Oryctolagus cuniculus: one gene and its partners. The protein of the gene in region 4 purifies or fractionates together with the protein of the main gene of each other region. This does not show direct contact. Links are inferred from orthologs where the notes say so. Each region holds a gene or a part of one and is shown on either strand. Other genes may lie near its edges. The genes, in order: SATB1, KDM5B, RNF157, HDAC1, SP3, BRMS1L and SMAD2.

The links.
Region 1: the proteins of HDAC1 (region 4) and SATB1 purify together in Homo sapiens (affinity purification with western blotting; 3 studies listed by BioGRID, with this or other methods). This does not show direct contact. The link is inferred for Oryctolagus cuniculus from reciprocal best matches to the Homo sapiens genes HDAC1 and SATB1.
Region 2: the proteins of HDAC1 (region 4) and KDM5B purify together in Homo sapiens (affinity purification with western blotting; 3 studies listed by BioGRID). This does not show direct contact. The link is inferred for Oryctolagus cuniculus from reciprocal best matches to the Homo sapiens genes HDAC1 and KDM5B.
Region 3: the proteins of HDAC1 (region 4) and RNF157 purify together in Homo sapiens (affinity purification with western blotting; 3 studies listed by BioGRID, with this or other methods). This does not show direct contact. The link is inferred for Oryctolagus cuniculus from reciprocal best matches to the Homo sapiens genes HDAC1 and RNF157.
Region 5: the proteins of HDAC1 (region 4) and SP3 purify together in Homo sapiens (affinity purification with western blotting; 6 studies listed by BioGRID). This does not show direct contact. The link is inferred for Oryctolagus cuniculus from reciprocal best matches to the Homo sapiens genes HDAC1 and SP3.
Region 6: the proteins of HDAC1 (region 4) and BRMS1L purify together in Homo sapiens (affinity purification with mass spectrometry; 7 studies listed by BioGRID and IntAct, counting the BioPlex papers as one, with this or other methods). This does not show direct contact. The link is inferred for Oryctolagus cuniculus from reciprocal best matches to the Homo sapiens genes HDAC1 and BRMS1L.
Region 7: the proteins of HDAC1 (region 4) and SMAD2 purify together in Homo sapiens (affinity purification with western blotting; 5 studies listed by BioGRID, with this or other methods). This does not show direct contact. The link is inferred for Oryctolagus cuniculus from reciprocal best matches to the Homo sapiens genes HDAC1 and SMAD2.

What each region holds. Positions count from the first base shown.
Region 1 is NC_091435.1:154,006,273-154,010,846, forward strand, and holds the start of SATB1 (DNA-binding protein SATB1), read right to left. Parts: upstream 3,025-4,574; 5' UTR 2,886-3,024; intron 1,747-2,885; exon of another isoform or gene 1-1,746. UniProt on the Homo sapiens protein: Crucial silencing factor contributing to the initiation of X inactivation mediated by Xist RNA that occurs during embryogenesis and in lymphoma.
Region 2 is NC_091444.1:18,501,152-18,503,978, forward strand, and holds part of KDM5B (lysine-specific demethylase 5B), read right to left. Parts: intron 2,621-2,827; coding exon 2,509-2,620; intron 1,462-2,508; coding exon 1,307-1,461; intron 558-1,306; coding exon 237-557; intron 1-236. UniProt on the Homo sapiens protein: Histone demethylase that demethylates 'Lys-4' of histone H3, thereby playing a central role in histone code. Does not demethylate histone H3 'Lys-9' or H3 'Lys-27'. Demethylates trimethylated, dimethylated and monomethylated H3 'Lys-4'.
Region 3 is NC_091448.1:4,554,876-4,558,682, reverse strand, and holds part of RNF157 (E3 ubiquitin ligase RNF157), read right to left. Parts: intron 3,562-3,807; coding exon 3,453-3,561; intron 2,214-3,452; coding exon 2,096-2,213; intron 1,749-2,095; coding exon 1,576-1,748; intron 1,335-1,575; coding exon 1,269-1,334; intron 1-1,268. UniProt on the Homo sapiens protein: E3 ubiquitin ligase that ubiquitinates APBB1 for its degradation by the proteasome and thus prevents apoptosis and promotes survival of neurons.
Region 4 is NC_091438.1:140,150,491-140,154,297, forward strand, and holds part of HDAC1 (histone deacetylase 1), read right to left. Parts: intron 2,192-3,807; coding exon 2,053-2,191; intron 1,603-2,052; coding exon 1,461-1,602; intron 451-1,460; coding exon 358-450; intron 1-357. UniProt on the Homo sapiens protein: Histone deacetylase that catalyzes the deacetylation of lysine residues on the N-terminal part of the core histones (H2A, H2B, H3 and H4).
Region 5 is NC_091434.1:67,238,592-67,242,857, reverse strand, and holds the start of SP3 (transcription factor Sp3), read right to left. Parts: upstream 2,964-4,266; 5' UTR 2,832-2,963; coding exon 2,825-2,831; intron 2,191-2,824; coding exon 2,018-2,190; intron 1,506-2,017; coding exon 1,365-1,505; intron 1-1,364. UniProt on the Homo sapiens protein: Transcriptional factor that can act as an activator or repressor depending on isoform and/or post-translational modifications. Binds to GT and GC boxes promoter elements. Competes with SP1 for the GC-box promoters.
Region 6 is NC_091443.1:39,740,611-39,744,417, forward strand, and holds part of BRMS1L (breast cancer metastasis-suppressor 1-like protein), read right to left. Parts: intron 2,899-3,807; coding exon 2,815-2,898; intron 884-2,814; coding exon 819-883; intron 1-818. UniProt on the Homo sapiens protein: Involved in the histone deacetylase (HDAC1)-dependent transcriptional repression activity. When overexpressed in lung cancer cell line that lacks p53/TP53 expression, inhibits cell growth.
Region 7 is NC_091441.1:29,856,610-29,860,416, reverse strand, and holds part of SMAD2 (mothers against decapentaplegic homolog 2), read right to left. Parts: intron 2,269-3,807; coding exon 2,215-2,268; intron 485-2,214; coding exon 272-484; intron 1-271. UniProt on the Homo sapiens protein: Receptor-regulated SMAD (R-SMAD) that is an intracellular signal transducer and transcriptional modulator activated by TGF-beta (transforming growth factor) and activin type 1 receptor kinases.

The DNA of each region.
Region 1 (4,574 bases), on a different chromosome or scaffold from region 4:
AACCAAAAGATTTTTACAATAATGAGGAACAGGTGCCTGTCACCTGACCTTTTAGGCCTAATTTACAATCCACAACCTGTTACATTAAAAAAAAAGAAAAGAAAAGAAAAGAGCTGAAATTCTCCTCTAGATATCTCAATCTTTGCTAATTTAATGTACTGGAGTTCCTAACCATCACTCAGCATATCCTATCATAGTCAACCACAGGTTCATATGGCTGGCAACAGACTTCTTTGCAGCAATAAACCAAATAATCATTTTGTTGCTGTTCTTGTTTAAGATGCTAGGAGACAAAAGAACTGGTTTTCTAGATTATCAACCAAAGAATATATTAATTTATTACAACAACTGAACAAAAGGCATTCCTTTTGAATACTTTTACATACAAAGAACTATTATTTATTACATATTTCAACTTGTGGGAAAGTGAGGAATGCATTGATTCTGAAAATAACTATTCAGACTTCTGGAAGTTCTTTAAGTCTTATCTATTTCTTCCCTCTCCCACCCCCACAGCACACACATTTTAAGGAGTTTGCACTTTAGGAGGGAAGCCCCTATTCTTTTTTTTATTCATCATCTGTATTTATTATTCTTCAGAAGGGAATACAAAATTGAGTATTGATTTTACTTCTCTTGTATTATCCTGTTACATGTAGCTATATTCAAATTTAACAATGCTTTGGATTTTATAGCTACTGCTTACATATTATGTACTACATATGACTGAACAACTCTACATTTAAAATACTGTTTCCATTAGAAAAAATATGAAGTAATAAGTGTCAAATGGTGATGAAGAATAAACATTTGGTATATTTATAAAGTGCATAGCTATTTAAAATGTGCACAAGTAGGATACATATTTTGCTACAGTTACATTTTACATGACATGCACATTGTCTAAAGTGTATTTAATAATGAGCTTAACCAAGTTAATTAAAGTATTTACGTCTGGTGATTGTGTTAAACACTTGGTGAGGTAGTGAAAGATACAGCCAGTTACTTCTGCTAACTAAAGTTGAAATTATGCACTTATTATAACCTTTCCTAACAATGTGAGAAAAACAGAGTAAATATATTAAATTTGTTTCACAACAGATGCTTAGGTTGTTAATATTTAAGATGCCTATTCATGCTATTCCTGTCTGCACATTTGTCAAAAATGTAAGCTTGAATGCTAATGTTTGCCAGCAGACTGGAGCAGCCAGTATATGAATGTACTACTGTTCCACTAAAATAATACGCAATAGAAATAAAGGACGGCTGCTAAACCATCACACTAATACCACGTAGGGGACTGCAGGTTTTCAAAGCAAATACTTGCAACCTTGGCTTTCTCCAGAGTTAAAGTGCGGGGCCTATTTATTTATTTATCTAGCAGCTACATTTGAATATAGAATAAACCTCACATTCCTGACATCTCGGAAAAATCCACCTTAGATAGGGTGTCGACGTCAGTTAAGTTTGAACGGGACGAGTTACTCTGTCCGCAGCACAAACACTGCAGATATCAGGGGCTGCTAAGGACAAAACCCGCTCTTGACTTACTCTCACCCCCCTCCTCTGTCCTCTGGGGAACCTCAGGTCCCGGGCCTCCAAGGATGCAGGCGTGGAAGCCCAGTCAGTCCGGAAAGAAAGGTTCCCTCCCTGCCAGCATCAGATCTTTCTGTCGTCCCTGCTTTTGTTTTTTTAAACCACTACGTGGAGTTCCAGTCTTAGAGCATTTGCCAGGAAACCCCGGGCTGTCTTGGAGAAAGTTCTCCGAGGACGGGCGCAGGGGTCAAAGTGGCCAACCGGAGCACTCTGCGACAGGACCCCGTGGCTGACGCTCGGAAGGGAGATGTGCGACGCCCCGGTGGAGGCCGGAGCCAGAACCTCCAACCCGAGTGCCACGCACTTCGGCCCTCTCCGTCTTCTAGGGTCACCTCGGGAGGGTCCTGCTCAGCGTCCCCCCTCCCGCGCCCAGCTCCCCGCCTCCCTCCCCCCCTCCCCGCAGCCACGCGCCCCTCCCCGGGCTGGCCACCTGCCTGCTTCTTCCCTCTCCTCGTGGTTTGCCAAGCCCCGGAGTCTCGGCAGGGGAGAGCACCTGGAGGAGGCCGCCGCGCTCAGGTCCTGACCGCAGGAGGGGACCTCGTGGCTGCACCTGTGACGTCCCGATGCCCGCTCCGAGGGCAGCACGCGCCCTGCCTCCTAACCTGCATCCACGCCGCAGCCCCTCCGGGACCGGCCTCGCCGCAGCCAAGCCCGCGAGGGCTCGAGGCGCGGAGTGCTGCAGCTTTCCAACTCCCGGCCCCGACGCGAGCGCCCAGGCGCCCGAGCGGCTCCCAGGATGGAGAAGTTGCCACAAACTTCCCAGGCCCCTCGCCTCCGCCGCTCGCGGCCAGCCGCGCCAGCGGGCGCAGAGGAGGCGGGGATGGACCGGCCAGGGATGCTGCACGGGCCGGCGGGCCGGCGGGGGCACATTTCCTCTCCCCAGCCCGCCCAGTCCGGGGCGCGCGGAGAGCCTGCCCCTTTCCCCGTCCGCGTCCTCTGGTCTCCTCCGTGCCCGGTTTCTCTTCTGGCAGGGGCTGGACCGATGACCTGAAGGGAGTTTGCCGGGCAGGTGTGTGCGCGTGTCCACACCTCGGGAGAGGGCGAACGGCGGCGGCGGCCAGTGCCCAGCCCGCCGCTCTCCCTCCCGGGAAGGCGCACCCCTCCGGGGGCTCGCGAGCCCCCGGGCCCCGGCGGCCGCCCGCGAGCGCTGAGCCGAGCCGCGGGGCACGGGGCGCGGGGCGCGGGGGTGGGTGTTGCAGAGAAGTTTGGGTCGATCCCGGAAAAAGAGGCAGGCACGGCCGTGAAAGAGCAGGAGCAGCGGGGAAAAGAGGCAAAGGAACAGAACTCACTCAGGCATGGGTGCTGGGGGCGGCGGTGGCGTCGAGTGCGGCCGAGAGCAGGCACGGCTCCGGGCGGGCGCGCCCGCGTCCGACTCCGAGGCGGCGGCTCTGCCTCCCCAGCCGCCGCCGCCGCCGAGCTGCGGCTGCCGCGGAAGTTAATCGCAACTTGACTTCAAGTTGCCTTCTTTTCCCCCTCCGAAGTGGGCGTTTAAAGGGTAGAGCGAGACGAGGAGCGAGGAGCGAGCGAGCGCGCGGGGCCGAGGGAAGGAAGAGCAGGGGGGGGAGGGAGGAGATGTTAACGGGGGAGGGGGAGGGGGAGGGGGCGGCGGGGGCGGGCGGGGGAAGGGGCCGGCGGGAGCCGCGCTCGGCTGGGCGGTCGCCGCGCCCGCAGTCTGCAGGCGCAGCGCCGCGGCCGGGCGCCCCCGCGGGAGGCCACAGCCACCCGGGCGCGCATCCAGCCGCCGCGCCTCGGCCGGCTCGCTGCGCCCGGGGGCTCGGCGGACCCCGCGTCGCCGCTTCGGAGCTGGCGCGGCGCGGGCGGCCCGGCGGGGCGGCCGGCCGGGGCCCGGCCCGCCTCCCCAGCACCCGCCCCGGTTTCTCCCCCTGGCGGCGGGAGCCTCCGCGGCCGCTGGCAGCCCTGGGCGCACGGGAGCCCGAGCTGAGCCGAGCCCGAGCCGCCGCCGCCGCTGCCGCCGCCGCGCGCGCCGCTCCCGGGCCCCCTCCCAGCGCGCCGGCCGGGGTGGGGGCGGGGGCTGGAGGGCCCGGGGTGGGCGAGGGGCACGCGCCGGGGTTAGCGGCGAAGAACGGACCCTGGGCCGCTAGGGGTAAGTGTGGGCGCTCGGGGGTGCGCGGCACGATTCCCGACGCCCGCCACCCCTGCCCCCTCACCTCTCCGGGCCCCACCACGCGCACCCCTCCTCTGCCGCCTGCGGCTTCCTCTTGTTGTTCGTTGTTTGGCTGGGCTTTTGGGGAGGGTACTGAGAGGGGGTGTCAGCGGTGTGGGTGCCGGTGGAGGAGGAAGTCAGGTGCGAGGCCCCGATGCGCCCCCCTCCCAGCCTGCGTGGGGTGCATCGCTCCCCACTAGGGGCATGTGGGCCAATTTTTTTTTTTTCCCGTCAGTGTTCGGTCGAGATCTTTCCTAGAGGGTCGCTTTCCCTCTCAGCCTGGCCCGTCCGTCTCTCTTCATCCCACCCCCGTCCCACTCAGCACCCCCACCCCCATCTTGGAGGGCTGCACCCCAACTGAGCGGCGCTTGGTGGTAGAACAGAGGGGTTCGCTTGCCGACCCCAGCGGTGTGCCCCAGCCCATTTGTTTCAATATTCCTCCTTATGTCAGCGGCTGCACTTTTGAGCCCACTGGAATGAGAACGCCTAAGCTGAGGTTCGAGTCCCCCCAAAAGCTGGGGGCAAAGAGGGAGGAAGAGATGAGGATTTCCTGGACAGGGGGCTAAGGAGAGGAGAGGAGAAGGAACCTTTCGAGAGCGGGGCGGAAACTCCACAGACCTCTGCTCCACCAGGGTGCGGGTGCCTGGAGGCTCCAGTCCCCAGGCTAAGGATAAACTGGAACTCCATCAACTTTTCCCTCCTTGCCCTGCCATTCCTGCCCCCAGCTGTAAGGCAGCTAACAGGTCTTTTGTGCGTGTCGCCTTTGGGAAATTTGCATTGAGTATGACAACAGAACATTACTACTGTTTACCTA
Region 2 (2,827 bases), on a different chromosome or scaffold from region 4:
CAGGACGGTGACAGCCGGAGGAGCGAGAGGAGGAAAAAAAGGGAGGAACGAGAGTTTCTTCAAGAAAGGGAGGAGCCCCAGGAGCGATGGAGGAGCAGAGAGAGCAGTGGGGGAGGACCGAGCGAGCCGCCGGGTCGGCTCGGAGCGGCGGAGCAGCGGCGCGGGCGGCGAGGTCTAGCTTACGGGGAGGCGGAGCTAAGGGGAGGCGCGGCCTCCGCGGCGCGCACCGCACTGACCTCGTCTCCTTCCGGCTGCAGGCAGCTGGCGGCCGGGCACAGGGCGTCCTCGTCCTCGGAGTCCTCCTGCTCCGAGTAGGAGGCGTCCGAGGGCAGCGAGTGGCTTTCGGCAGAACGGGCCGACTCGTAGCCACGCTCCCTCTCTAACTTGAGATCACTCGTGTCCTTGGGGTGGCTCAGTTTGATTTTCTTCTTCCTGGGTGTCCGCGTTTTTTTCACTCGGTCCCACCGCTCGCCGGCGAGGCCGTCTCTGTCCAGGCGTCTCTTGAGCTTCCTCTCCACACTGCTGCCTGCGTCGCGCTTGCCCCGGCAGCAGTCCTTCTGGGTGGGAGACAGGCCAAGGTCAACCACACGCGACCCTGCACCCACCCCAAGTCCCACAGGACAAGCGGGGTGAGGCGGCCTCGCTTCCTTCTCCCCAGACAGCTGCCAGCCGGCACCGGGGACGCACGGGTGCCCGCCAAGGCCGACAGTGACCGACCAGCGCCTGAGCCGTCCTGCACCCTGCGGGCTGCTGAGGCGCCACACGGCCGCGGTCCCACTTGGGGAGACACCCCCAACCCTCATGGCAGCAGAGGCACTGGATGACACCACACAGCGGCCCACGGGGCTCTGGCTAGTGATCGCCTTTCCTCATGCGGCTTGGATCCGCCTGGCGGCTTTCCACCCTCACCACGTTCTCAGGGGCCTGACAAGTGCCAGCCCCGGGAGGGACGGGCAGCAGGAAGCTTACTACGCTGCCACAGGGCGTTCGGTAGAGCAGTCGGCACCCCAACAGGACATCCTCGGAGTGGAGAGTGGTTGTTAAGTGACTCTTGGGCACGGAAGGCCTGCTCGGCTTGCACCGCCTTGTCAGCCTCTTGTCCCACTAGCACCGTGGGGAGCCACGAGAAGCACCCCGAGGTACAGACCAACCCACCACCCTGTCACTCGGTGGCTTCAAACAGGACCCAAACCCAGCTCGGAGCCCAAACTGACACCTCCAGCACCTTCCACCCCGGCGGCCGGGAGGAACACAGGCTGGATGCTCTTCTGGGACAGGGAAAAGAGAGGGGCCCGCCGACACCCACCTTCTCACTGCCGGGCCGCGCCGGGGAGCTCCGGTCGCTCGGCTGCGTGGGGCTTGGCTGTGCGAGTAAGGTCTGGTAAAGTTCCTGAATTTCAGGAAGGGACACTTGCAGCAACTGGGCTTCCATTAACAGTTCGTTCACTTCTGGACTGAGGCCTGTGGAGGAGCAGACCAAGCCAGTGAGAACAAAGGGCCTCCCGTGTGCTCCGGAAAGCAAAAGACCGCCCCCTCCTCACCTGCGTTCCCAGGCCGTTAGGCTCACTTACTGTGCCTCGGCCACACTGTCCCGGGCGGAACCCAAGCCAGGCACTGCCGCTAACTAACTGCCCACTGCAGCCCAGGCCACGCCTCTGCCCTGGTGGCCTTTCCAACAAAGCACAGGATCGAGCTGCGGCCCAGGCGCGCGGGCTCCGAGTGGCCCACGGCGCTCGGCCACACACGGGGACGGCCTGTCCAGGAATCGGACTCCGGCTGAAGTGCCAGACACAACTCATGGGAGTCGCTCAGGAAACAAGCAGGTTTTAAACACAGATTATCTCCAAAGTGATGAAGCCTCCCTCAGGAGCCCCACTTGGCAGCCTGGTGTTCTATCATCAGCTGGCAAAGGGTGGATCCGGCTCCCTGGAAGCAGTGGGCACGAACCTTCCTGTGTGCTTGCACTGCTAAGTCTCTCAGTCTGATCTCTCTCTCCATGCAGCACACTCATACCCTACATGAGGATAAAGCCTCCTCCACCCCCCAGCACTTTCAAATATGTACTTATTTATTTGCAAGGCAGGGTGAAAGAGAGAGAGAGAAGACCACAGATGTCTTCCATCAGCTGGTTCACACTCCCAAATGGCTACAACAGCCTGGCTTGGACCAGGCGAAAGCCAGGAGCCAGGAGCCAGGAGCCAGGAACTCCTTTGGGATGTCCCACGAGTGGGGCAGGGACTCCAGGACTCTGGCCGTCACCTACTGCCCCCCCCCCCCCCCCCCCCCGCACATTAGCAAGCAGCTGAATTGGGAGTGGGGCTGCCAGAACTTGAAGCGGAACTCTGATGTGGTACACAGGTGTGGCAAGCGGCAGTTTAAGCTGCAGCACCACAACACCAACCTCAGGATAAAGGCCTTTTCTTGGTACCTCATCATCTGTAACAAAAACCTAGTACAAGATGACCTGTTACTACCCAGCCCTCAAAATAATCCTAATAAAATACAAACCATGGAGAGGGACACAACTCTGTCCAGTGGAGAAGGGACAGTGTGAATACGAGGTCCTGTTATCCCAGTCACCGGGCGAGGAAAGGGACGCAGTGCCGGGAGGCTGAGGCACCTGGGGGAGGAAGACACCGGTTACCACTGTTCCCACAGAGCAGCCTGGGCTAAGGCAGGCAACAAGGAAGAACAGCTGGATTTCCCCAAACTAGAAGCAGTCTCTTGGTGCCTTAAAATCGGCCACATCACCACCTGTCTCCCCTTAAGACAAAACCTTTAATCTTCCTGGTTTTACTGACTCCAGAAGGGCAAGGACACTGGGAGC
Region 3 (3,807 bases), on a different chromosome or scaffold from region 4:
CCACAGCCCAACTCCTGCGCTGGGTTTGCTGGGGAGAGGCACCGTCAGGTCTAAGCCACACTCCAGAAGTCAGGGCACTTCAGACAGTCCAGGGAAAGGTGGAACTCAAACACCATTTATTTTGGTGCAAAAAATTTGAAATCCATGTAGATTTTCATAATGCGGATTTTCCACAAACTTTTAAAAAAAAGTTACCATTTGGGGCCGGCGCTGTGGCACAGTGGGTTAAAATCCCAGCCTGCAGCGCCAGCATCCCATATGGGCGCTGGTTTGAGTCCTGGCTGCTCCACTTCCCATCCAGCTCTCTGCTGTGGCCTGAGAAAGCAATGGAAGATGGCCCAAGTCCCTGGGCCCCTGTACCCACATGGGAGACCCAGAAGAAGATCCTGGCTCTGGGCTTCAGATCGGCGCAGCCCCGGCCGTTGTGGCCAACTGGGCAATGAACCATCAGATGGAGGACTTTCTCTCTCTCTCTCTCTCTCTCTCTCTCTCTCTCTTCTCTGCCTCACCTCTCTGTATAACTCTGACTTTCAGATAAATAAAAAAGGTTACCATTTTATTTATTCAAAAGGCAGAGCAACAGGGAGATGGAGACAGAGAGGGAAGGAGACATCTTGTGTCCGCTGGTCACTCCCAGACGCCGTGACAGCGGGGACTGGGCAGGCTGATCTCCCCCCGGGCCTTGAGGAGGGCGGCAGAGAGCAAGAGCTGCCGCCTTCACTGTTGCCTCCCAGCGTACCCGGCGGAAGCAGAGTGGGGCTTGAACCTGGGCATGCGGGCAGCTGAACTGCTGAGCCAAATGCCTGCCCCTCCGTGGACTTCCTCAAGGTTCCTTCTGTGTGCTCGGAATGAGCAGTCAGGAAGCAAGGCCCGGGTCCTTCCCACACTGCACCCTGATCCTGCTGCCACGCACAGGGCTCCTGGAGGCGGCGGGGCAGGGGTGGGGGCAGAGAGCAGGTGGGACCCGTGCCCCTCAGTTCTGGGTGTGCCCAGTGCCGGAGGGACACCCTTGGCACATTTGTGGTCTAAATGTTCACCGATGACCCACAAGGTCCAGTCTGGCACGCCAAGTTCCCTCTTGAACTCACTCCACACGGATCAGGCTGGGGCCAGCGCCCTGCTAAGGGGACAGTCCACGGCCAGAGTGTGGCTCGCTGTGCTCTGCCCACACGCTTCACTGACCCGGGAAGCTCCAGTGCCGGCCCCCTGCCGCTGCTGGACCCCCAGCCAGCCTCAGCGGCCCCGTCCTGCTGTCTGCGGCCGCTCACCTCTGCGTCCTGCTCTCCCGCTGGGAGGCCGGCGAAGTTGCTCTCCGGAGACTCTGCTGGCGTCCCCTGCAAAAGAGCACCAAAGGCCAGGCCACGGTTACCAGAGGCGCGGAGTGCAGAGCCACCGCGGGGCCCAGCAAGTCCGCCGACGCCTGAGGGTCTGATCCCAGGCCAGGCCGGCCCCTCGGGACTCCTCTGGAGCCCTCTGGGGCTCTGTGGGCAGCCCCGGCAGATGCCTTCTTGAGCCACTCTGGACACTCATGCAAAGCCCAGGGAAGCCAGGCCGAGTGGGGCCGTCCTCCCTTACCTCTGCTTGCTCTGACTGGGCCCTGCTGGCAGCCCGGGGGGACGGGAGAGCCTCTCCCTCCTCTTCGGTGCCGGGGGCGATGTAGGAGCCGGACATGGAGGAGACCGTGTCGGTGCTGATCTGGGAGGACGCCATGGACATGACAGACTGGGCCAGGCTGCTGCTGGCGGGGTCTTGGGAGAAGGAGGTGGTGTCAGGCCAAGCCCCCGCCAGCTCCGGCAGTGCAGTGCAGGGAGCTGAGCCGCCCTCCCCAGACAAGACTGAACGATTCCTGAGATCTGGAACTCAACCTCAGGGCCCAGGGATTTGCTTTCCCCTGTCACAGCTAAAGGAAATCTTCCGGGGGCAGGAGAGGGACCAACAGCCCAGGAGAGGGACTAAGAGCACGCTTCTCCCCAGCTCCCAGGAGGAGAGCAGGCCCCCCGCCCGCCCCCTCCAGTGGGGCCTGCTCATCAGACAGCCGCGCGCCCAGAGGCGGTGCCAGGGCAGGACGTGCAGCTGCCCCCGCCCCCTCCTGTACCTTCGGGGGAGGAGATGGTGGAAGAGAGCGGCGTCCCTGTGCAAGACGACTGGTCGATGGCTCCCGATGACGACAACGTGAGGTTCTCACTTTCGGGGGTCACACCACATTCCTGGGGCTGCGGGGGACACAGCACACGTCAGCAACAAGACACGGGGAGGGACAGGGTTCCCCGTGGTCAGGCACCACGTGCCAGGCGTCTCTGTGGCCGGCCGGGGCCCGCATGGCTGCCTCCGGGGAGGAGCGAGCCTCACTCAGCACCTCCGGCTCGGGGCACAGCATCTGCTGGGGCCTCACAAAGACCGCAGCTCAGGTGACGCAGGTCACCCAGCAGCTGGGACACGGTGGGGGGACGCCCCAGGTTTCCCCAGCATCACCAACAGCTTCCACAGGGGCCTCTCTGGCTGTGGGCAGGTCTGTGTGGGCATCCGGTGAGTTCCGGCTCAATCCATCCAGAACAGTCGGGCCCTGCCCCCACCCCGGCCCTGCGCCTCTTCCCCGGCTGTCCCCGGCTCCGTCCCAGGAGGCTGCATGGCTGTGCTGGCTCTGCCCCCTGCCCCCCCCCCCCCCCCCCCCGCCTTGGCCCAGCGCAGGCACTTCCCTCGCCCTTTCTGGGGTCCCAGCCTGCACACCTGGCAGGTGAGCGCGCCCTGCAGCGCCGGCCCACGCCATCCTCTCCATCTGCATGCTTCTCTCACGGCTAAAACATTTCAAGGTTCGGCCCAAGCGCTGCTCCTTGGCAACGTCTGCTCTGACTCCTCCCACTTCGTGTCACCGGCTGCACTTCTGCTGCACACTTTTGGGGTCTCTCAGTTAAATCCAATGATTCACTCATGCGGTCACCTGACCAATACTGAGCCGTAGCAATGGGCCACACACGGTGCTGTCCCAGCTAGAGCTGAGCTCCTGAGGCCTGGGCCACCGAGCAAAGTCTGTGTGTGCCCTGCCAGAGCAGGAGGACAGCAAACTTCTGTCCAGTCGAGTCCACGGGGACCACAGGGTAGAACGGGCCAGCCCTCCGCCATCGACCACGCTGGCCTCCCTGCACACCCCAGGGTCTTGCATTGCTGTTCCTGTGTCCCAGATCCCCAGGACACTTCCTGTGCTGGACGTCCTTCGTGTCTATTCCCACCCGACCAGCCAGCGTGCAAGTGCCGTGGGCAGAGTGCGGCGCTCCCGCTACCTGCTCAGCACGGCGGCCGTGCCTACCAAGTGGTACGTGCAGCTACCGGGCCTTTGCCACTATTGGCAAGTGCTGGATGAAGGCATGGGAGTGGACAGAGCCCGAGAGGCAGGCAGGCAGGCGGAGGACGGCGCCTGGAGGCCAGCGCCCAGGCGAGGGGAAGGGTGCACTCACCTCTCGCAGCCGCTGGGCCGAGGGTCTCTGCGAGAGCGGCGTCTCCGACTCGCTGCAGGAGCGCTCGTCCTCCTCTTCGTGCAGCACCGAGGAGCTCTGGGAGACGGACCTGTCCGTGCACAGGGGACACAGCGGCGGCCAATTCCCACCTGAGGCAGGGCCCCGCTGGGCTCTCCTCACTCAGACTTCCCGGGACGCGGGCCCTTGGAAGGAACTGAGGGAAAAACCTGAATCCTGGGGTGAGGCCAGGAAGGGACCGTGGCCCCGTGTGGGGTCAGCAACGCCAGGCTCTCCTTTGGCCCCTTGGGTGACTTGCTAAGGCCTGAGCTCGGGAGCAATGACCCACGTCTTCATG
Region 4 (3,807 bases):
CTCCGTTCATCCCTCAAAACCACAGGCACTGAGCCAGCCCGCGCGCCAACGCTCCACACAGACGCTGCCAGACCTCTGAGCGGGCTCACTGATGAAGAGCTTTCCCAGACCAAGCCGGGCCGCAAGGGCTGCAGGGAGTCCCTACACTTCCTCAAGCGTAGACATCAGTGTAAGGCAGCAAGAAACATGAAAAGCCAAGGAAGCCTACCACTGTTACATCCCGGGAGCTAACTCCAAAGAGACGGAGATCTAAAACAACGCGACTGCAAGCTCTCATTTCCCAACCGGCATTAGCAGGGCTGAGTCCCCTACACCAAGTTGCTGTTTGTAGCCCGCAGGGTGGATAGAGCCACTTACCGGCTTGAAAATGGCTTCATAGGACTCGTCGTCAATCCCATCTCGGAGCGGGTAGTTAACAGCATAATATTTGCCTTTGCCAGCCCCAATATCCTAATCGAGAAGGACATTAAAGTAAAACTGAAAGATGAAGCTGAGGAAGGCGTTCAAGGATGGGGGCTGGAAGGCTAAGGGAAGAGGCAGCGGTTCTGGGAGAGGCGGGCCAGGACAAAGCAGGGGCACTGAGTTAGTGCTGTTCTCACTGGCAAGTCCACATCCCGTCACTGAGCCTGCACGCAGGCCGAGAGCTGGTTATGGGGCCTGAGACTGCACACCCTACCCCACAGCACAAGACTTCTACCTTGGCATTGGGGTAGAGCTGGCTGGCAGCCAGGTCACAGAAATAACACCCACTCGCATCAACCTTTGTCTCCAGGGAGCTTTGCTGCTCATTCTTCAACCCCCTTTCTTTCCTCTCCAGGGAGATGTGGCAGGAAGCACAGAGGGAAGCTTCCAACTCACTTCCAAATAGCAAGTGCTCACTTATTCTAATGCTTGCCATGGCCAACAACTGCATTAGTGCCGCCTTTTCACCTCAGGGCAAAGGCAGCGCAAAGCGGCTCAGTTTGCTGTACTCATGCTAACAGAAGCAGGTAGTCTGATGAAGGAGCTTCCAAGGATTCTTATCCTGAGTTTCATGGATGGGCTCCATGATGACTGTTCTACAGCAGACACCACGTTTCATGCACTTTTCTAGGAAGAGTTCATAGCTTTCAGTCAGAGGGCCAAAGGGGAAAGTAACCTAAAAAGGCTCAGAAGCCTTGAGATGATCCACAAGAGTCCCAGTTCCTAGCACAAAACTCAAGCCTTGTGGGGCACAGGACCAGCACATAATGAAACCCAGCTGCGTCCATGAGGGAAGCCCAGTAATGGTAGGAGACCCTTTATGTCCCACTTTTCCTCTCCTCCAGAATTAGGGAGAGAGACCATGGGAGGCACTCCCGATGGGGGAAAGGTGTTCTGAATGGCAGAAGAGGCAGGAAGTGGTTTTTAGTGGCACAGGATAGGAAAGTTAGAGCTGGCAGCTGAGGGTGAGCTGGTTGGCCCCTAAAAAGAGTTCTCACCCGTAGGTCCCCAGTTCCTGGGAAGTACTCTCCATACTTATGAAAGGACACGGTCATGACCCGGTCTGTGGTATAGAAGGCCTCTTCCACGCCATCGCCGTGGTGAATATCAATGTCAATATACAGCACCCTCTGGTGATACCTAGGATCAGAAGGGGGTCAGGGGTCTGGGGGCTCTTTGGAGATGGGACGCGCCAAGGGCGCCAGGTCCCAGCTTACCGGGCTGGCTGCCTCCCTCAGGTATCTCTAAGCACCAGAGACGTGGAAACTGGCTGAAGGAAGGTGGAAGAGCGGCCGGGTGTCTCCAGAGGCCTGACCAAGCCGACCAAGTCCGTTCTTCCTACTCTATAGCCAGGGTCAACTCCAGCCACACAAGGACACTCTGAGGCAGGATCTGAGCAGCGCCTGCCCTGATCTTGCCGTGGGCTCAGATCAAACCAAGACCCCGTCAAGGAGATGATGGCCAGAGCCACCACACACATTCCAGCCAGCATACCGCTAGGAAAAGCAAACTAGGGGGCCAATCCCCGGGGAGGGAAGTGGGAACCTGGCCTAAGGTGCTCCTCCAAGAGACAAGGCCAGGCAGGCATACTTTAGCAGTTCCAGGATGGCCAAGACGATATCATTGACGTAACAGAAGCCAGATGCCTCGGACTTCTTTGCATGGTGCAGGCCCCCAGCCCAATTCACAGCGATGTCCGTCTGCTGCTTATTAAGTTTCACAGCACTTGCTGGGCGTGGGGAGAGAGGAACATAAGCCTGTTACTAAGTCACTCTCCCCTCCCCCCAAGAAGCCCAGGGAACCTAGGGAGAGGTAGGACCTGCCTATTCAATAAGCCAGGCCCCTCCCTCTCACCTATTCCAATAGAGAATAAACATGATACCAGCTGCTCTTAAAAAACTATTTTCCACAGACAAAAAATATTTTTTACCAAAAAGAAAAAATAAAACAAAACTATTTTCCAAACTGAGGATGGTAACCCACCTTAAAATTGACTTAGTGGGTCATGGCTGGCATGTGTATTTTTAAGTGAAACAGATTAGAATAAAAATATCAGAGTAACAGTAAAGGTAACTGCCCTTTTACAAAACGTTGGCTTTAGGATGAGAGAGTAAAAGTGTGTGTTTGTGTGTGTGTGTATGTTCACGTGCATGTGTGTGCCCACACATGGTATCCTGGATTACCTGTGTAAATTTATTTCTTATTACGGTTCATGGTCAAAAAATTTTGAAATGATACCAAAGATAGGGCTGACTCAAAGTACAAATGAGTACAAAACATGAGAAATATACACCCATGCATGCAAGTGCATTTTTGGCACTGTTAACTTTCAAAGAAATAAAAGCATGGAACAATCTAAATGGTCCAGTAAAAGGAGATAGATTATATCAACTACAGTAGGGCCATAACATGGAATAATCTATGGCCACTAGAAAACAGGCTGTGGAAGATTTCTACAGATAGAAAAATCCTAGGTTAAAAAAAAAATGCAGGCACAAAACTATTATTCATATACACACACACATACACCTCAAAAGTTCATGGGAATGGAAGTAAAAGACAAATTTATTTTGGTCCAAAAAGAATTTTTAAATCTATCCATATACCATGAGTCTTCAAAATGTTCAAGGAAAACACATATTACAAAAACCTATGCATACATTTCAAATTGTTTTCCACCAAAATAAACTTATATTTTAACTTCATTTTTCCACAAACTTCTTGAAGTACCCTCATATACATATTTTATGTCCAGATATATAAACATGAATAAAGAAAAGGCAAATAAACACCCAAGTAGTAACAAGGTCATCCATGGACAGTGTGACTGTGTGTGTGTCCCAAGCACTTCTTTTTTTCCAAGATGATACTGGTAGGGGGATACAATAATGATGATAGGAAAATAAATATTTGTTAAGAAAGGGTTTCAAGTAGTCCTAGCGGGAACCCAGAAGTTATAGGTGGAAGTGGGAGCTAAGCCTAGGCAGGGAATATTTCTGACCTCTGAAGGTAATTGCCACACTCCTTCCTAAGACACACAAGATGGCACTTCCATTTTTATAGCACTTTGGCAGTTCACAAATTGCTTTTATGTACAGCATCTTGACAACCCCAGAGGTCTGCAGGGAATTCCTATATATGAGATTTGCTAGTGGGAGAGGACAGCCAAGGACATCTGTCAGGACCATGCTGGACAATAAGCCTGGGCTGGGACTCAACCAGAAATACATTCTAGAGATCTAAGGACTATTTTACATGGTCACAGGTCAGCCCTACCACTATGGTGGCCTAAAAGGCAGACCTCGGGAGGACAGACCAGCACAACCCTTGGGAGGGGATATAGAT
Region 5 (4,266 bases), on a different chromosome or scaffold from region 4:
TAAACAGAAGCAACCTGCCTTTCAATTTGACTTGATGCAGTGGCTTATTAAAATAAAAAGCCAATTTGTTTTGGTTGTTTGGGAATGGAGGTATATAGTTCATTACACATGCTCACCAACCAGTCAAGTAAGTTTGTTTAATAACAGTGCTTCTCACAAATGTATGCTTTTACATTTTAATCTGTTTACCAAAGCAGGATTAAGAAGTTAAAGCTACTCAGGTCCCCTAGAGTATAATCTGAAGCACTAAAATGACATTTACCAATAATGTAGCTTAACAGTAGCTTAACATTAGGTCAACTTTTAACGACCAGACATTAAGTATTTAATGCAGACTATAGCAAATATCAAACTTAGAATTCCGTCTACAGTTACCAATTGAAAACATCACCAAATCAATTCCTATTATCCATGTCAAAAAAGGGCTCCAATTATTTTAGTAAGTGAACACACGAACATGTTAAACTAAAGCAACAGTAAAGTTCACAACTTAACTGTCTAAAATCTGTTAACAGATAACTGTGAATTAAGCCCTAATATAACACTGCCAGCTCCTCCCCCCAGCCCAGACACTGTAAAAACACTACAAAAAGAATACCACCACATCCTACAGCAACCACAATAAAATGAAAATAACCGTTTTGCCAAGCAAATCCAACTGTAAGTAGCACGCATGTAAATACAATTCCTGACTTTTGTTTCTGAAGCTGACACTCATTCAATTTCAAAAGCTAAAGAACCACCTAAGTAAGTTGTCTAATTTCAGCGGTCGCTAAGTGTTCCACACAACACCACCTAGGAAAGATGACCGGAAATTTAAGTAGCAGCCTGCAAAAACTCAAATCCAACAATTTTGAGCGGTCACTAAAAAAGCACTCAAGGAGTGCTCATTCCTGCATACAAAAGGCTACCTCGGGGGAACGAACTTCACTTTTTCTTTCTTACGATTTCAGTCAGTCAGACCTAGCAACCTCCAGCAGAAAAAGCTCCAGGTTCCAGAATTCCAAGAACCAGAGGCACTGCCGCCGTGGCCGATACTATCTATGGCCGATAGGCTGTGCTTGAAAATGCACTACCGCTCGGCGAAGGAGTTTGCAGCGCTGATATGAATTGCTCAAACATCCATTTTGGAGTCCTCCACCCCCGCCCTCGCAGACTTCATTTTGTGGCGAATTCTGAGCGAGGTGCCGCAGTGACAATGTGCAGAGAGCCAGGGCCGGCTTCGGGGCCAGACCGGGATGCGGAGGGCAGGACGGGGCGCGGGGCCGCGCGGGCGCGGGGCAGGCCTCGGGGCGGGCGCCCGCAGGCCGGGGATGGCGGGCGCCGGGGCCTCGGCGGGGGCGGGCCGCGCGCGCGGGACTTACCGCTCCGGCGGCGGCGGCGGCGGCGGCGGCGGCGGGGGCCCCGGCAGCGGCGGCCGCCTCGTCCTCGTCGTCGCCCGGCGATGGCGGCCCTATCTTGCTGCAGGTAGCGGCCAGCAGAGCGAGCGGTGACGGCTGAGTGTCCTACCCCCGATGGGCGGGTTCAGAGAGGGAGACAGGGGAGGGGGGTGGCGGTTAGGGCCGGGCCGCCGCTCGCACAGGAAGTGCGGCTCGGTCCTCCGGGCCGGCCCGGCCAGCGCCAGCCCGCGCTCGCCGCCGCCGCCGCCACCACCACCACCGCCGCCGCTGCCGCCGCCGCCGCCGCCTCCTCCCGCCGCTCGCCCCGGGCTGGCCGCCCCGTCGCACGCTCGCGGGCCCCGTCGGCGGGCGGGCTGCGCGCCGGGCCTCCACCTGGCGCCCGGAACCCACCCCGGGAGGGCGCGCACCCTCGCACACTCACACACGCACAAAAAGGCGGCGGGCGGGCGGGCTGGCGGCGGGCGGGGGAGCGCGGGCGGGGTCGGAGCGTTGGCGCCTCGGGCGGGCAGCTCCCGGGGCGGGGGGAGGGGAGGGGAGAGGCGCGGAGGGAGGGGAGAGGCGAGGGGAGGAGAAAGCGGCGCGAGGGGGGAGCCGGGCCGGGCTCAGCCGCTCCTCACCTGGGCCGCCGCCGCCGCCGCCGCCACCGCGCTGTTTCCGTGCTGCTGCTGCTGCTGCTGCTGCTGCTGCTGCTGCTGCTGCAGATACTCGCCGTGGCCGCCGCCGCTGCCGCCGCCGCCGCTGTCCACGTCCAAGGCAGCCATTTCCTCTTGTTTCACGGGCTTTTCGGGAGCTGCAGGCACAGCGCGGGGGGGGGGGGAGGTGGGGGTGGGGAGGAAGGCGGGTGGAGGAGAGGGAGGGGGCCCGCGGGCCGCGGCGAAATTACTCCGAGAGCCCCGACCGAGGCCCCTTCCCCTCCCCCACCCGCCCCCCGGCGGCGGCGCGGCGGCGGCTCCCTCCTCCCCTCCTGCTGCTGCCCCCGCCCGCCGCTGCCAGTAACCCTCCTCCTCCTCCTCTTTCCCTCCTCCTCCTCCTCCCCGCGCTGCCCCTGCCCCCTCTCCTCTCCTCTCCTCCCCTTTCCCTTCGCGCCGCTCGCTCTCACTCGCGCTCGCTCCTCTCGCACCGTCAGTCACTCACACACGCCCGCCCGCCGCCCGCGCCCGCACACAGGGGGATGCGCTCCCGGCGGCCCGGGCCGCCCGCCCCGGGGCCCGGCGGGGAGACGGCGCTGCTGGGGGGCTTGAGGGCTGGACGGTGGCTGGCGGGGAGGGCAGGCAGGCGGAGGGGAGTGCGGCTTTCTGCCTCTCACAGACACTCGGCGGCACACCACGGGGCCGGGAGCCGGCGGCGGCCCCCGGGCTGGCTGCGGTCAGCGGCGGCGGCGGCGGCGGCAGCAGCAGGGGTTGCTCTCTCTCGGCTTTACGTACCGGTCATAGTGTGTTTAGGGCACCTCAGGCGGGGCTCCCCGCCGCCTTACACATGGTGAGGAGCGAAGGCGGCGGCGGCGGGAGAGGATGCGGGAAGCGGCGGCGGACACGGCCGGAGCGGTCCGGGGATTTTTTTTTCCTATTTTGATTGACTGTGCGGGAAACACAAAAGGTGGAGCCTCCAGCCCAAAAGGGGGGAAGAGGGTGACAGCCCGCCCGGAAGTCCCGCCCCTCTTCTCCGCGTTCATTCGCCACCACGCTCCCCGTCGGCCGTCCTCATTGGTCCGGACGCCCGTCCGTCGCTCGGCCAGGCGGCGCGCTTCCTGTTTGCCCCCCGGGTGGAAGAGGAGAGACAATGAGCGGCTGTGGCGGCGTAGCTTCCCGAGAGCGGCTACGGCTCGCCAGTTACCCCGCTGTGCCCGCCTCGCTCGCCGGTTGCCGCTGCCAGGCCCGAGACGCAGGCCTCTTCCGCCTCGCAGGCTCTCCGAGTAGGCCCGACCGAGCTGTAGGGCAGCCAGGCTGGGGAGGAAATCCGTCCCCGGTGGCTCCGGCTCCACTCGATGTTTTCTCCATCCCGGCGGCAGCCTCGGCTCGATCTCCCCAGGGCCTCGCGCTCCCGGAGCCGCCGCTTCCCTGCGCTGCCAGGAGGCCGCTGCCGCTGAGCCTCGGGGCTGCTGCTGCGGCCGCTGCTGCTACTGAGCAAACCAGACCCGCCCCACGAGCCCGGGGGGAGGGAGCTGGTATTGGGGGAGACACCCCCTCCGAAGCCGGAGGAGGATTTTCTCTCTCACACACTTTGAGCTGTCGTATTCACAGCCAGAGCCATCTCGTTCCCATCCCTCTCAGCCCCCCAGGTCTCCAACCGTCTCCCTTTTTCCCTTGCCCTGGAGGCAGCCGTTTAGAGCGAGAGAAAAATCAAGTGGAGAGCTTTCATGCTGGCCAGTGGCACCAGAAAAGGAACTTAGATGTGGCGTGTGTATGTGTTCAATGAGGCAAGAATCCTTGTTTAAAAAGAAAAAAAAAATTAGCCACTCATTGCACTACACATACATATATCATTCCCTGCTTTTTAATCCTCTCGGTACCAAGTCTGAAAGGTCCTGCCGGCCGTTGCCAACATTTTTTAAATAGTGAATCTCAGTGAAGTTTCTTGGTTTTTTTTTTTTTTTTCTTGGAACATTTCATGCTTTAGTTTTTAAAATCTTGTTTCACTTACTGGATTAGGCTAACATTCCTTCCATCTTTGGCATCGTTGATATCTTGCTGTCATCCTGGGCGAAAATGCTCAGGTTTTATGTGTGTGTTTTGCCAACTAAGAGACATCTCTGCCTATTACCTTTAGGTATAGTTGCCAAGAAAAAGGTTAAAGGCAGGGAGACTGTCCATAATACTTTTATTGTAACTCTGACTCCAAAATCAGTGTTCCAGTTAACGGTGATGAT
Region 6 (3,807 bases), on a different chromosome or scaffold from region 4:
CTAGCTCAGTATTAAATGCAGTAAAATGTAAGTACTAGCTGCTTCAATACATTTTTAAAGTCTAAGATCATATGAAATACACAGAATAACAACTTCTCCTGGAGGTGTTATCAATACTCGAAATAATCCTCTCTCAACTAAGAAGTTTATAACAAATGGAAAAATGTGAGGCCAGTGCTGTGGTGTAGTAAGTGAAGTCACCATCTGTGATGCCGGCATCCCATTTGGGCTCCAATTCAAGTCCCAGCTGCTCCACTTTCAGCAGCAGAAGATGGTCCCTGCACCCATGTGGGAGACTAAATGAAGCTCCTGGCTTCTGGCTTTAGTCTGGCCCAGCCCAGCCATTGTAGCCATCTGGGGAATGAACCAGCGTATGGAAGACTCTCTCTCTCTCTCTCTCTCTTTCTCTCTCTCTCTCTCTCTCAGTAACTCTGCCTTTCAAATAAATAAATATATCTTTAAAATAAATAAATAAATGTTTACTTTTGTTCATTCAACAAACATTGAGTGTCTTCCATGAGCCAGGACCAGGCTAAGGATTAGGCACAAAATGGTGATATTATTTGGGAGCAAAATAAAAAAATGTTTTTCTGTAATTCTTGTATAAATTATTATAAAAACTGCTGACATGTCCCTAATTCTTGAAGTATCACTACAGATTGCTGCTATCTGTAATACTACCAATTATCTTAGAGAAAATGTTGCAAAAGCAAAGAATATTTAACAATTATCATGCTTTGATGTATTAGTGAAAAATCTATACTCCTAAAAAGCAGACTATAAAAATGCACTTGTGCTTCACTCTTCTTTAATCATACCTTCCTGATTGTTGTCCAGTCTTCAAGAATATCAAGATCTTGTAGCATATAAACTATATATGGACGTTGAAAAGTCAAGGTCAATTCAGCAGTAAAGATATAACACTTTGAATTATATTTCCAACATTCAATTTTTCAGAGAATTGAAAAACGGTTCAGGAATATAATCCTTTGGTATTCTGAATTCTGACTCCCAATTATTTTACATATCCAAATAAGTACTGACATACATAGTCTAGTGCTTCTGATGCCACAATCATATTCCTTCAATTCTATGAGAACATTGATAACTTAAGGTTGAGGGGAAAAGACAGAGGTTTTTGGGGCTGGCGCCGTGGCTCACTTGGTTAATCCTCTGCCTGCGGCACCGGCATCCCATATGGGCACCAGGTTCTAGTCCCAGTTGCCCCTCTTCCAGTCCAGCTCTCTGCTGTGGCCCAGGAAGGCAGTGGAGGAAGGCCCAGGTGCCTGGGCCCCTGCACCCGCATGGGAGACCACGAGGAAGCACCTGGCTCCTGGCTTCAGATCGGCGCAGCACGCCAGCCGTGGCAGCCATTTGGGGGTGAACCAACAAAAGGAAGACCTTTCTCTCTGACTCTCTCTCTCTCTCTCTCTCTCTCTGTCTAACTCTGCCTGTCAAATAAAAATAAATAAATGTTTGGTTTTTTTTTTTTTTAAAAAGACAGAGGTTTTTAAGATACAGAGGCAAAGGGAGGGTTCCATAAGGATGCATATAGTAGTTTAATTTAAAGACAATCAGGGGGCTGGCACTGTGGCACAGTGGGTTAAGGTACCACCTGTAGTGCCAGCATCCCGTGTGGACACGACTACAAGTCCCAGCTGCTCCACTTCCAATCCAGCTCCCTGCTAATGTGTCTGGGGAAAACAGCAGAAGAGGTCCCAAGTGTTTGGGCCCCTACCACCCACATGGGGGAGAAGAAGCTCCTGGCTCCTGGCTTCAGACTGGCCCAGCTTTGGCTGTTGTGGCCATTTGGGGAGTGAACCAGCAGATGGGGAGATCTCTGTCTCTGCCTCTCTCTTTGTAAACTCTGCCTTTCAAATAAAAAAAAGTACAAATGAGAATTAAACCGTCATGCAGTATACTACATGCTACATAGAGATATAGATACTCTTTCTTTCTTTCTTTTTTTGAGAGAAAAAAAGAGAGAGCTGCCATCTGCTGGTTCTCTTCCCCCAAACATCTGTGACAACCAGGCCTGGGCCAGAGACTCAATCCAGAAATCCCACGTGGGTGGCAGGAATCCAGCCACTTGAGCCATCCCCCTGCTGCCTCTCAGGGTTCCCACTGGCAGGAAGCTGGAGTCGGCAGCAGAGCTGGATATCAAACCCAGGCACTCCAGCATATGCAACAGACATCTTAACTACTAGGCTAGGAAGCCTACGAATTTTCAAACTTGAAATCATGAATAAATTTCTTCTCTTCCCCCACCATTCTGAATGTAAACTATATCTTCTGCCTTCAATCCATTTTATAAGTCATCTTCCACTTTTTTTTCTTAAAAAAAAAAAAAAAAAAAAAAAAAGGTGGGCCTGGTGCTGTGGCACAGTGTGTAAAGCCACCGCCTGCAGTGCCAGATCCCATGTGGGTGCTGGTTCAAGTTCTGGCTGCTCCACTTCCAATCCAGCTCTCTGCTATGGCCTGGGAAAGCAGTGGAAGATGGCCCAAGTCCTTGGGCCCCTGCACCCGCATGGGAGACCTGGAGGAAGCTCCTGGCTCCTGGCTCCTGGCTTCAGACTGGTACAGCTCCAGTCATTGCTGCCATTTTGGGAGTGAACCAGTGGATGGATGACCTCTCTCTCTGCCTCACCTCTCTTTGTGTAACTCTTTCAAATAACTAAATAAATCTTACATAAAAAAAGGGTTTACTCATTAAAAACAAAATCACTGTGTACTAATAAAATTTCCCAAAATATGCACACTGTAGAAATGTACAGCAAGGAGGAAGAAAACCCCCGAAAACCCAGAGAAGGATATCTGAAACCACCACGGGCTTCTTCTTGTCGGGACTGAAAGGATCCTTCCTCTTCTTTCTCGACTGAAGCTCATCATTCCACAGCTCTGGCAAGGAAGTAAAAATTAAAGATTAGATTTCTGCTGACCAAAGGAGGGAAAATGACAGTCATCTCACAGTGGCCACCTATTCAAGTATACACTGTACACAACTCCACTGGCAGCCATGTGTATACACATGGGACTGTGTACCGCTCCAGGAGCAGCTACATTCAGTACTTACAAATTTTCCTCTGCCTTTTTTAAAGCAAAACTCGGTCTAGCACTTACGGATAATTGATGAGCACATGTCAGGTGCTTCGTAAAATATATATCACATGCATCGTCTCACCTAATCCTCAACTTTACCTTGAAGGCAGACATTCTTACTACTTCTTCTTGCTGACAAGGACACCAGCTTAGCAAAGTTCAGCAGCTGTCCACAGTCACCCAGTGAACCGGCAAGGGAACACCGGCATTAGAGCTCAGCTTATGTGACTCACCATGGCCACTCAACAGCAGAGGAATAAAATTTATAACAGATAAAATGAAAAGTATGCAAGAACTGCAGGTAACCTAGTCAGCCTTCTCCCTAACAAAGAAAACTTGTCCACAATATCCCTGGAAAAAGTAAATTTCACACTGCAGTGGCCTAATTTATGTATTAAGTTTTCCTTCTTCTGAGACAAAAATCTGCATCCCTGTAACTTTTCTCCATGTGCCTAGTTTGTCTGATGCCACCACAGTGAAAAGGTTTGCACTCCTTCTTCCACATGAGCCTCCCAGGGCTGAGCGGAACAATCTTCTACAGCTGTCTTCTCATGCTGTGCTCAGAGAGAGACCCCTGCCACACTTCTGTTTTGTCCCCCGTCATGAGTTCCGTGTCTTTTGGCATTCTGAAGTGTGAGCTCAGGTCAAGGTAACTAACAATCACAATCACATCAAATTCTTCAGCAGCCTCTCCTTTTCCCCTACTAT
Region 7 (3,807 bases), on a different chromosome or scaffold from region 4:
GAGGAAGAGGACCTCATGATTTATAACAATTAACCCTACTATCTGAACACACTCATTTTATGATGGCAAAAACTTAACAAACTTATGTTATTGTAACACACATTACTGAAGAACTTTTCAGTGTCAAGGGTGCCAAATAATAATTTGAAGGCAAGAGTTTGCAGATTGAAGAATCAAAGAAAGCCTGTGTACTTAACCATGACAGCAGCTGAACTGCCAGAGGACTGGGTTCTTATACGTAAGTTCTTTGCACAAGGAACATAAAACATACCTATATGTCTTCTTGTCATTTCTACTGTGGCGTTTCGGTTCACATTGGACAGTAACCCTAAGCAGAACCTCTCTGAGTTTGATGGATCTGTAAAGCCATCTACTGTGAGGGAAGGCTGTGAGGCATGGAAGGTCTCTCCAACCCTCTGGTTCAATTCATAATATGCTATTGAACACCAAAAGGCCGGTTCTGAATAAGTAACTGGCTGCAAATCTAGGAGAAATGAAGCATAAAAAAAAGTATGTGAACAATTCAAGTCATAAAGAGATGGAATCTCATCATCTCACATGCCCTGTGCCAGCACACACTGGCAACACCTAAGAGACCGAAGTAACATGTGTATCCGTTTCCACAGCTCCTACCAGATTTTCCAATTTTCAAATCTCCCTCATCTCACAACGTCACATTATGTTGGATTATTCGTTTTACCAGTAGTTTCAGCTTAGTTCTTACTCAAATACAAAACTACCAGAGCCCAACTCTGCAACTTGTTGTACTTAGCGCATTTCTAAAAAGCATAATAAAGGTAAATCTACTAGAATAAAGCTGGAGCAAAGATTAATGAGTTGGAAGTCACAAGAAAAAACATTGTCTTAAAGGAAGACAAAAAACGTGAGATATTTTTTGACAGTTCTCTATTTTAACATGAGACTCTCAGTGAGTTACCAAATTAGAACCAAAAAGTACTAAAACACAAAGAGTATGCAAGTATCAATAGAACAAGGGCTCAAGAGTACTCATTTCATCAGAAAAGTGGGAGCACATGTGCTGAACCTTGGCACTCTTGACTAAGTGTATCATAAATAATAATATTATGGAAGAAAAAAAACCCTGACAACTTTGAAGAACTTTGAATGGCTAGAAACTGAAGGGAAACTATAAATATAAAAGAGCACGTAAAATAAATCACAGGAACGCATAAGTATATACACACATATATGTGTATACAGCTCTAAAACACATACATATTTTATATGTATATACATATATTTATATATACCTCTTATAGTAGTAACTGATAAGATATACTGTAAAACAAACCCATAGATACATATAATAGGCTATAAAATTTTTGATGAATAAAGTATAATTTCAATGAATATAAAGATCATTTATTACATTCATATGTACCAATAGAGACTTTAGTGATACTGAGACACAATAATATCTATTTTGTCTTTTAAAATATTTATTAATTTATTTGTAAGTCAGAGTTAGAGCGAGGTATACCACCTGCTGGTTCATTCCCCAAGTGGTTGTACCAGGCAGGTTTGAACCATGCAGAAGCCAGGAGCTTCATCCAAGTCTCCCACAGGGGTGCAAGAGCCCAAACACTTGGGCCATCTTCCATTGGCTTTTCCCAGGCCATCAGAAGGTAACTGGACTGGAAGCAGAGCAGCTGGGACATGAACCAGCACGCATATGGGATGCCAACATAGCAGATGGCAGCTTGATCCGCCATGCCACAACACTGGCCCCCAGTAATCTCTATTTTAAAAAAGCACTAATGTAGGGACAGGTGTGTGGCCTAGCAGTTAAGCCGTTGGTTAAGATGGCCATGTCCCACATCACAGTGTCTGGGTATAATTACAGCTGGGGTTCCTGCTCTGGCTTCCTATTAATGGGGACCCTGTGAGACAGCAATGATGGCTTAGGTAACTGGGTCCCTGCCACCATGTGGGAGACTTGGCTTCAGTTCCTAGATCTCAATTTTGATTTGGCCAAGCTCCAGCCATTATAAGCATTAAGATAGTCAAACAGCCAACTGCAGCTTTCTTTCTCTGTCTCTCAAATAGATTCATTTTTAAAAAATTAAAAGCACTAATTTAAACCATTTGCATGATTACCTGATTATTCCTTGGTACTCCTTTCTTGCTTAGAAAATAGTTTTATGCAGGTGATACAGTGTATGAATGGCAGGGGAAAAGCTATTTGCAACTTACCCAAGCTGTGATTAACAGGGGAAAGAGTAGTAGGAGACAGTTCTGCTGGAGAGCCTAAAACAAAAGGATTCAATTCTTTAATGCTCAAGTATTTCTAGAACTTCTATATTACTTAATACAACTGGTTATACTGGTTGTAATTATCACCAATAATACACAACTTAAATGCCAAGAATTCAAAACATACTGCTGCTTTAATTTGGAGAGCTCCTATACATAAAAGGTACAAAAGATTATAAACAGTCTGGCTTCTAGCCACCCAGCTCCTCTTTCCAAAGCCATCTAACGTTGGAAGTGCTTATGTATGCTCCAGAAACACCGTAAGCACACATACTTGTAATGTGCCTCTATCAGAGATCGCTCATGTTGCTGTGTTTCCTATTCACCATCTACACCTATCAGCCAGCTGTGTGGCATCATACTATGAACCCATATTGATGGTCAGTCAGGCTATTTCAATCTACTGCTTCAAAACCCAAGATGGGAACAATTCATCTTGCACATTTTGCATACTTCCAATCACACTGAAGGACAGTCTTATCAGGGAAACTGTGAGATCAGATTTGTGCATTTTGTAATTCTGATAGATATCTGGCAGAATTACCACTCAGTAACAACACAAATGGAGAGGGATGCCCTTGGTAAGAGGTGTTGTGTCTTAATTTGCATTTCTCTTAAAAATGACATTTTGCTTCCTTCTGTGATGAGTCTGTTCTGCTCATTTCTGTATTGTGCTGTTGATCACACTGTCCTTACTGACTTGTAAAGGCTCTTTTAGGATTAAGGATATTAGTCCTTTCACGGATGGATGCTTGTATTTGGTCATCAGTTTTGCAACTCAATTCATTAAAAACAAATGTTACATGACTTAATTTGTGAATCATTTTGGGGTTTGTCACATGTTGATAAAAGTGGTGGTGATGGTTCCTTCTGGCTGAAAGACAACATTTCAAGTATTTTCTCAGTAAGCATGATACTGGCCTTAAGACTAAGAAGAAAAAAACATTACTTAAGATTTTTGTTCATGGCTAGTATCAAGCAACACTAGTCCGCAGATTTACATGAGTACTGTGTGTAAGACTCTGTGAACAAGGTCCGAACAATCTGGAAGCTTAATGTCTTTATGCTCTGGAACGGTTTAAAGAGTATAGTACCAGCATAATCAGTCAATAATTTCCTAGCATTTACTCCAAGACATTCTGTTTCTTCTATCCAAGTGATTTGTTGAGAATTTTATTTTCCTATAAAATTGATCTCTCCTTATATAGGTTAAATCTAATCAAGAAAATAAGGTGAGGTGAGGGAGGGGGAGAAATACACAAACTAGGAAGATGAACAAACACACACAACGGAAAAAGAGGAAAAAACAAACACCGATAGACTACTTGGCTCAATTCTATGCAACTATATTTAAAAGACAGTTTTCACAAAATGTTAAATAATCATAATTACAAACATGAGATACATTTTGTTTCTGGTCCTCATTCACTACACATTTAGGGGAAGTTATCTAAAAGAGGATGACCCAAAGCTTTAAAGGTACCCCCAGGCACAGATGCAGAGTAAGAGGTGAGCCTAAGCTGCGCTCCCTCT